Arabidopsis thaliana: one gene and its partner. The protein of the gene in region 1 interacts with the protein of each later gene in a pairwise test. Each region holds a gene or a part of one and is shown on either strand. Other genes may lie near its edges.

Evidence for each region. The genes of interacting proteins can lie anywhere in the genome.
Region 2: the proteins of SCY2 (region 1) and AT4G38490 interact in a two-hybrid assay, tested with the Arabidopsis thaliana proteins (one study listed by BioGRID).

What each region holds. Positions count from the first base shown.
Region 1 is NC_003071.7:13,425,000-13,431,185, reverse strand, and holds SCY2 (SecY protein transport family protein), read right to left. Parts: upstream 4,176-6,186; 5' UTR 4,127-4,175; coding exon 4,042-4,126; intron 3,748-4,041; coding exon 3,250-3,747; intron 3,160-3,249; coding exon 3,071-3,159; intron 2,974-3,070; coding exon 2,894-2,973; intron 2,765-2,893; coding exon 2,675-2,764; intron 2,567-2,674; coding exon 2,475-2,566; intron 2,365-2,474; coding exon 2,281-2,364; intron 2,129-2,280; coding exon 1,987-2,128; intron 1,826-1,986; coding exon 1,709-1,825; intron 1,595-1,708; coding exon 1,465-1,594; intron 1,369-1,464; coding exon 1,245-1,368; intron 1,160-1,244; coding exon 1,053-1,159; intron 968-1,052; coding exon 878-967; 3' UTR 554-877; downstream 1-553. Other genes in the region: AT2G31540 (GDSL-like Lipase/Acylhydrolase superfamily protein), read left to right, coding at 1-151, 260-453. UniProt on the Arabidopsis thaliana protein: Involved in protein export. Probably interacts with other proteins to allow the postimport or conservative sorting pathway for inner membrane proteins in plastids. Central subunit of the protein translocation channel SecYE.
Region 2 is NC_003075.7:18,004,511-18,007,872, forward strand, and holds AT4G38490 (uncharacterized protein), read left to right. Parts: upstream 1-1,777; 5' UTR 1,778-1,874; coding exon 1,875-1,911; intron 1,912-2,005; coding exon 2,006-2,088; intron 2,089-2,162; coding exon 2,163-2,308; intron 2,309-2,406; coding exon 2,407-2,488; intron 2,489-2,579; coding exon 2,580-2,693; 3' UTR 2,694-2,862; downstream 2,863-3,362. Other genes in the region: AT4G38480 (Transducin/WD40 repeat-like superfamily protein), read left to right, coding at 1-95, 193-336, 414-1,085, 1,262-1,492; AT4G38495 (chromatin-remodeling complex subunit), read right to left, coding at 2,956-3,087, 3,183-3,250, 3,341-3,362.

The sequences.
Region 1 (6,186 bases):
TTGGAACACCATAACAAAGACTCTGTTTTATACAATGAGAAACTTCAGAATCTCTTGCCCCAAATCGAAGCATCTCTTCCAGGAAGCAAATTCCTTTACGCCGATGTCTATAATCCTATGATGGAGATGATCCAAAACCCTAGCAAATACGGTATGTACATAAAGATCTTTCTTGTTCCACAAGTTCTCTTATTTGTATATATATATATATATATATATATATATATATATATGATTCGTGTGTGTGGAATTGAAACAGGGTTCAAAGAGACGAAGAGAGGATGTTGTGGAACAGGGTTCCTGGAGACGAGCTTCATGTGTAATGTTTTTTCTCCTGTGTGTCAAAATCGGTCGGAGTTTTTGTTCTTTGACTCGATTCATCCATCGGAAGCTACCTATAATGTCATAGGCAATCTTCTGGATCCTCTAATTCGTGGAAAGTTCCAGGCTTAAGTCATCACGAGTTGCAAAACTGACACAATTAATTTTCTTGTTTCTTTAATGCGACTAGTTGTGGACTTTCGTTTATGAATCAAATGTAACTTTGGCTCCTATTAGTGCCAAATATGCCACAACTAAATCAATTGACTCTCATTTTCTGGACAAACGAAGAAAAGAAATCAGTTTCAAGTTCAATAATTCTCGGAGTATTTGCAGACATTTATGAAGTTCGACTATTCCTGCATAATCTTTCCGCAAATGCTTGTGATACTTGGCCCTTGGGTTTTAAGTCTTCTAATATTATGATGGAAATGTGTTTTGGTTCTTAATACAAATTATCTAATGCCTAATCTACTAATCAAAAGAGCTACAGAAACTTCTAAAGTTTAAACGACAATAATATATCTATAAGTTCTTCTGTTTCTCCAATCTCCCTTTATACGCCATATCTCTTTAACGCTTTGCTTAAACTCGGCATTACATTGTAGGCATGGTAAGATCTTCTGAGTTCAATAATGGAACCAACCTGTACACAAACAATAGAGATTATTAACACAACGACATCAATACTGCTAAACTGAATGATATTGATACGTGGAAAGAACACTTACAATGATCAAAACAGATGTAAATCCGATAGAAAAGCCTTGATTGATGCTGCGTAGATAGTGGTCAAGTACAGTAGAAGCTGTTGCCAAAAAGCTCAACAGAAGGCCACCTGCATCAAACCAAATGAAATGGTTTTTAGAGATTATACTTGTACCATATACGCAATATATCTAAAATGAAACAGCTTAACTTACCCCAAAACCTAGTTGATGCTTGTATCTTCGTTAAGTACTCGATTGTGGCTTTCCCAGGCTTTATGTTCGGTATTCTCGCCCCCATTTTGTTTAAATAATCCGCTATTTCCTTTGGCAAGTTGGCCTACATAACAAAACAAGAAACCCGGTAAATGTAATGTTTAATGTTCATTGGAAGACTGAAATTCAGACTGAGAAAAAGTGTAATGGATTTACTCACAATGTCAAATATGTTGAAGAGAAAGACGAAAAACGCATATATTGAGTAATAGACCCAAGGTGGTGCTCCAACTGTGCTTTCAGGGTTTAATATCTCCTTCATGTTTAGCAAGAAAGGTGAACCCAGAATACTAAAAACAATAAATTACCTTATTAGACAGCCTTAGATGGTAACAATAACACAAAGAAGTAAGAAACAGGAATGATTTAAACCCTAATAGTAAGAGGTTCTTCAAGCAATTTACCTTGCAAGAATGCTGGGGAATGCCAAAAGATATGTGGTTGTGAGAACAGGTTGCATTCCAGCCGGGTTGATGTTAAAAGGTATGTACGGCTCCACCTCTGTTATTGGAGAACCTTCTCTGCCCAAATGGCAAAACATAGCATAAACACAAATATGAGTAAACCACACGTTGCATCCAAATGTACTTTAACCGTAATCTACTCCTAGCTATATTGGTAAAAGTGGCAATTATACAACAATCTTTTCGATAAAATAATGATGCTGAGCTACATATATCACCTCGAAGCAGAAGCAAGTTTAAAACCATAATATTGTAGTTTAATCTTCCTGCAGCCCTCAGTAACAACAACAGCGAACATAGTTACTACGGTAAAAATGCCCAGCAAGCCTAACAAGTAAGGCAACCAGTTCGAGAAACTTCCTGCAAAAGAGAAGAACGCTTCCTTTTTTTATAAATCAATTGAGAAGATAGGCGAATGATAGTTGCCTCCAGGAAATGTGGAAGACATGCAGGTCTAATGTAAAGACTAACCATAAGTTTGAGAAATGTGGAGTAAGAAAAACCAAAGGTACCTGAGATTTGATTGAGCATCTTGTGTAAAGTCTCTGTGTAGCCCGTCAATATTCCCACACAAATAATCAGAGATGAGCCATGACCTGTAAAAGGCTTAGAAACAGGTTATGAGCAAGCTCCACCAATTACTCCATATCAGCATCACTTTAAGCTACCAATGGTTATAGAGATAGAGATATAGAGAATCAAATACCAAATCCAGATTCTGATATTGTATCACAGAGCCACGTCATTGTCATTGCACCACAGACTAGCAGAGATGATGTCATCATCACATGCTTGACCCTGAATAAGCATGCATTATTACTTTAGCATCAGTTGTGGCAAAATGGATGATAGAATTTAAAAGCACCATTTTGATACCCCGAACGTGAAGAATCCTAATTAACTTACTGGGCAGTGGCTGCAAAAACTGAATATTGAAGAGAAGTGTAAGCCACCACTAATGCTTCCACTATAGCGAAGAAAAACGATAGCCACCATCTAATAAAATAAGACCAAAAAGGCGATTTAGTAACTTTGTTTAATGAAGCAAAAAAGTCACAAGACAAACAAAGTAATTGTATGTTAAGAATTCATCTCACGGCTTGAGAGGTAAGAAACTAAACACACATATAACTCTTGATCTTCTCGTGACCATCTAAGCCTTCCTTTCGCAGTTTCACCAAGGATGGAAGAACGTGACAAAGCACCTGGTGTTTCATGAGCACTTTATCATCAATCATAATCTTAATATATAAAGAACGCACAGACTCAGGCAAACACATCAAATCGAGGAGAGATCTTAACCTGCATAATTATGGATGCTATTATTTGTGGACTGAGCCCAAGCTGGAAGAGCGAAAGCTTGATCTCTGCTCCAAACTCACCCAGTTCCTCTATCAAAAACATAAAATGTTAACTACAAATACATAGAAATGTCAACCAAACAAGGGACTATAAGACTCAAATGACATGAGAACACTCACCAACAGAACCCGAGACAAAGCTAAGGTAATCTTGAGGTATTAATCTTCTGTCGAATCCAGGTAAAGGTATAAAATATCCAACACGGCTAAGTACAAGCAAAACAGCCGTTACAAACAACCTCCTCCTTATCTCGCTCTTAAAGAATCTTTCTGCTGCAGTATTGAGTACTGAACTTATCCGAACAAAATCAAGAAACCTATTTCTAAAAGACTTTGGCCTATCATCCTGTAGTGTGTTGGAGACAGCAGAGTTCTGTGAATTACGAATGTCCTGTGAATCTGGCGGAATAATCTCCACATCCAAAGCATCTGTATGCATCTCCTCGCTACTCATAGAATCATCTCTGAACTTATCGGAATAATTTATCGAAAAACTCTTCCTTTCTTTCATAAGAAGATGTCTTCTGTTCATTTGTATAGAATGCCCTTGTCTCGTTCTTGACATATTCAAATTCGTAGTAAGGCATTTTCTGGGTTGAGAACACAGAAATGGGTCTCCTGCAAAAACATTATCAAGGTCAAAACACATGCCTCAACAATTGTTTCTGTTCATAAAGTTGGATACTTTGAGAGAATTTCCGGGTTAAGAGAACTAGTCTAAGAGATAGTATCAGTGAAAAAGTTATCAACTTTGCAGGAACAGTGAAAAACCCAGGTCTGTGCTTTTGAAATTAGGGTTTAATCAATTCGAAGCAACGAAACTCTAACGATTGTATCCTGAACTAGTCTAGGTAACAACAATCTCTTAAAATTTCGATTCCCAAGCACTTAATTTGGGGAAGGAAAACTTACGTTTCGAGAGGAAGGCATAGGAGGGATGCGAAAGCGAGATTGGTCTAAGAGAAAAATGGAAGAAGCAAGCTTGAGAGGAATTCATCGAGAGGATGAGGAGAGAAAAAACGCGGCGCTGAGACAAGGAAGAACAAAACTTCGGCTTTCAAGTGTGTTACTGTTATAACTCTCTTAAAATCTTTTTTTTTTTAAATCTTATACATACTTAGCATACTTTTAAAATTTATGATTCATGTATATTTTTATGTTACTATTTACCCAATGTTATGTTTTGTCATTTTTAATTGGCTATAGATTAGTGTATCAATATTTCAGGTTACACATCAAAATTTTACAAGAATTAGATCACTCATATTTTTTAGAATGAAATGACAAAACAAAATTGTAATAATCCATATAATTGATGATGGTATTAGATGAATTTTTGTTGGCAGGAGAAGAATCACAATGCTGTTAAGACCAAAATGCCAATGTAAAAAGTTTTATTTTTAATTACTGTGTGGTTTGAAAAAAAAAACAAATCCAAGTAATTTCTGACAAAAAGAACCCCAAAATAATATTAGTCTCCTATTGGGCAGATCCGGTGGAGACAAGTGATGATGATGATGCTGATGATGATGACGATCATCACGACGACAACAAAGAACATGACATAAGCGACACTGATACTCTTCAGACAGTGGATCCAGCGACTCTTATTCCCGGCCTTCAATCTTCGCTTTCAAAGGGGAATCAACGCCAGGTACAAAAACTTTCAGATGGTTATTCGGTTCCATGCGTCATTGAGGACACAGACCTCACAGTTGAAAGACTCCGCTACCTTCACGCCAAACTTGCAGGAGTTAAAACTGACGCACCGGTTGAGAAAGATCTGCTCCTTGAGTCCTCTGACAATGCACAAAATGAGTTTGTCTTCATGAAGAGAAAGAGGGTTCGATTAGAAGAAATGTACCAACAGGTGGAAGCTGCAGATGAAATGGGCGTTCTGAGTCAACTTTGCAAGAAAGGAAGAAAGACTGAATCTGCAGGATCGTGTTCGATACATGATGGACGTGACGGAGGCGCGGGGGGCCCGGTACCCCTAAGGGATCCAATATGAGGATCATCTCATGGAACTGTCAGGGCATCGGTATGCCGCTGACTCAATCGCGGTTGTTTCGCTTATTCCGTATGTATAACTATGATATTTTATTTTTAGTTGAAACCTTAAACCAGTGTGATAAAGTATGTAAACTAGCATATGATTTAGGCTTCCCTAATGTAATAACTCAGCCCCCTAATGGAAGGAGTGGTGGCTTAGCTCTTATGTGGAAAAACAATGTCTCTTTATCCTTGATTTCTCAGGATGAAAGACTCATTGATTCTCATGTAACATTTAATAATAAGAGCTTCTACTTGTCTTGTGTGTATGGTCACCCTACTCAATCTGAACGTCATCAACTATGGCAAACTCTTGAACATATCTCAGATAATCGAAATGCTGAATGGTTGCTAGTGGGTGACTTCAATGAGATACTTTCGAACGCTGAAAAAATTGGTGGTCCCATGAGAGAGGAATGGACTTTTAGAAATTTCAGAAACATGGTTTCTCATTGTGACATTGAAGATATGAGATCAAAAGGAGATAGATTCAGTTGGGTAGGGGAAAGACATACACACACAGTCAAATGTTGCCTTGACAGAGTTTTTATTAATTCAGCCTGGACTGCAACATTTCCATATGCTGAAACAGAATTCCTGGACTTCACGGGCTCTGACCACAAACCGGTCCTAGTTCACTTCAACGAGTCATTTCCCCGTCGATCAAAGCTTTTCCGTTTTGATAACCGCTTAATTGACATACCGACATTCAAACGTATTGTTCAAACAAGCTGGAGGACAAACCGGAATTCACGTTCTACACCTATCACGGAACGGATCAGTAGTTGTCGACAAGCCATGGCAAGACTGAAACACGCTTCTAATTTAAACTCAGAACAACGAATCAAAAAACTTCAAAGCAGCCTAAACAGAGCAATGGAGAGTACAAGGAGGGTTGACAGACAACTAATTCCACAACTTCAAGAGTCACTAGCGAAGGCCTTTAGTGACGAAGAGATTTATTGGAAGCAGAAGAGTCGTAATCAATGGATGAAGGAAGGCGAT
Region 2 (3,362 bases), on another chromosome or scaffold:
CCTTCGATTCCGGCCACTTCAATAATATTTTCCAAGCCAAATTTATGCCTTTCTCTGACGATCGTACCATTGTCACATCTGCTGCTGATAAGCAGGTACCACTCTGCCTCTCCTCTTCATACCTCCTACCGCGAACCACACCTCTTGATAGCTCCTCATGTTACAACTAGCTTATGTTGATTTTTGTAACAGGTCCGCTATTCCAAGATTCTTGAATCTGGACAGGTAGAGACTTCTTTGTTGGGTAAGCATCAAGGACCCGTCCACAAATTGGCTGTTGAGCCTGGAAGTCCTTTCTCATTCTATACTTGTGGTGAGGATGGGGCTGTCAAGCATGTGAGTTGTATTTTTCATTTTGTTTTCTTATCGTCTGTTTTTATACCTAGGCCGCCTAAAACAACACGTATTTTCAGTTTGATCTTAGGACTCGGGTGGCTACAAATCTTTTCACTTGTAAAGAAGCAAAGTTCAATTTAGTTGTCTACTTGCATGCAATTGCAGTTGATCCTAGGAACCCTGGTCTTCTTGCCGTGGCTGGAATGGATGAGTATGCTCGTGTCTATGATATTCGTAGCTATCGCTCCGAGGGTTGGTATAATTTTACCCAACCCATAGACCACTTTTGTCCTGGCCATTTGATTGGAGATGACCATGTAGGAATAACAGGTCTGGCTTTCTCGGATCAAAGTGAGCTCCTTGCTTCGTATAGTGACGAGTTCATCTATCTTTTCACCCCTGATATGGGGCTTGGCCCAACCCCATATCCATCTTCAACTAAGACTGAGGAGAGGATGACGCCTCAGGTTTATAAAGAGCACACGAACCGTGAAACAGTCAAAGGTGTCAACTTTTTTGGACCCAAGTGTGAGTATGTGGTAAGTGGTTCTGACTGCGGCCGAATATTCATCTGGAGGAAGAAAGACGGAGAGCTTCTCCGTGCCATGGAAGCAGACAGACATGTTGTCAATTGTATAGAGTCTCATCCTCACATGCCACTGATGTGTAGCAGTGGAATAGATACTGATATCAAAATATGGACTCCTGGAGGAACCGAGAAACCTCTGTCGCCAGGAAATGCGAAACAGGTAATGCCACATCTATTGCTAACCTCGTTTGCTTCTTTTATTTTTGGTGTTTGAAGACTCGGAGGATATGCTTTAGTTAACAAGAATGTAACTTTGGATACAATACATGTGACTGGAGGCTGAATTTGGTTTTGGAAGGCAAACTAAATGTTTGTATGTTTGCTTCTTGGAAACAGGCTTCGGGTTTTGGTAACCCACGATGGTTCGACGGATATTATGTGGATGACGATGATGATTCTGACGATGAATCTAGTGAAGAGAGTTCAGATGATGATGATAGTTCGGAAGAGGAGGAGAATGGTGAAGTTGATGTTGAGATTACGAAGGATGATGATAATGATCATGGGGATGATGATGATGATGATGATGAGGATGATGATGGGGATGGGGATGGGGATGAGGGATGAGATTTGTATAGACATGTATTTATCTAAACACAAAATAAAACAGCATATGGTAACAGTACCAAAGAAAGGATTAGTTATAGTTTAGTTAGATGTCATCATCGTGGATACAAAATACTATTCAATAGACATTTTCATTCTTAACCAAATGGATCACATACATAATCAGCTTCTGTAATGTCAGATTGTCAGTTTCTTCAATGAACTAGAATTTCCAACAATCCAAATTCCAAAGTAATTTAAAATGTAAAAGATGTCATTGGTAAAATGGGTTTATAATCCAGGAAACTTTGAGCCCAAAAAAGGCCCATAGATCATCGAAGGCCTTTGATATCTGCGACGGCGAGATCAGCTTCGTCTTCCTCCAACGCTCGATTTAGGGAGGATGGTGGTTTCTCCGGGGCTGCTCTCAACTGTTTCAGGTCACTATTCGCTCCGGTTGCTTCTTCTATATACTTTCCCACTGCTTTTTGATATTGTCCTTAGTAATCATCTAGCTTCGATTTTGGTTCATAGGCGTAATCCGATTGGCTCCGTCACACCGGATTCTAAGACGCGATGGGTTCGGACCCATTTGCTTCAAGTTTTCTGGGGATTTGGTAATTTACCTTTCTTTCTATTGCGGCTTAACAGCTTAAGAAGCTTTTCACTTAAGCTCTGTTTGAGTGTGTAGAGTATCAATGGGAGAGTCAGTCATAAACATGTGCGTGGAAGTGGCACGGTGGGATCTGTAGGTTCCGCTCGTGAAAGTTGGAGCTCTCATAAGAAGCTTCCCGAAGAAGAGCCCTTATGGCTGAGTCTTCTTAGAGACATGGTCTGGTATGAAATTCTCCCACTGAGTCTAGCTTTTAATATATATATCTGCTGGAAGAGTCTGAATGTTGCATTATATTGAATTGCATTTTTCTTGTGAGAAGGAGCACGAGATCTCTCTTGTCTTTCATGGCTGAGCAACCAAGTCAGCTGAAATACATAGAGTGGCCAACTTTTGCAAGCACGGTATGTCTTGTTGTTGTTGTTACAACATATGAGAAAGAAAGAGATAGTTTGTGGGTGTAACTTTGTTTTTTTTTGTTTTGGTAACAAACAGCTAAAGACTGCTACACTGAGTCTGTGTCTGGTAGCTGTATTCATTGTTGCGCTATCATCGGTGGATGCTGCTCTTTGTTACATATTGGCGTTGATCTTGAGGAAAGCCCCATGAGGAAGGCAACTCCATTATCATTTGTCTCTTGTAGCCTTATTGATAGGTGAATGTTTTTGATGTAGATAGAATGCAGGAGGATGTACTCAAAATCAATGTGTTTCTAAAAGTTGAATTGAAATGAAACCTCTCTGGTCTAGTATCTCTCACACATTAAGGGAAATCCAATCATATATGTCCCAAGCAAATCACACCATAAATAATAAGGAAGGATTCAACATGTTGTTGGTTTACAAGTAAGAGAATAAGATGATGCTAGGTGCTACTTGAGAACAACAGCAGCATTGCGAATGGAGAGATACTGGTGGACTTGGTCGGAAGAAAGTGATCTCACAGTCTGGAAAACATGAGCATTAGCATAGCGGAGGTTTGTTCTTGGGTCCACATAAGGTGCCTGCGAGGGATTAGAGAAGCTCATTGAGTTTTGTTGTTTTTGGGTAGTGAATAAATTTGTAGAAAAGAATCGATCACTCAAAAACAGAATAAAACCTCATATCCAGTAATATCGCAAAGTCTCTTGCATGGTTGAGTGGAAGGAGGCGATTCAATGTTAACATCTGCGAGGCACAAAGAAGATTTGATTTTTGATTCAAACAGAGTCAAAAATCCATTCAAAATCAGAAATCAGAGAGAGAGAAAAGAGTTACAAGTGGGGAGGTCGGGAGGAAG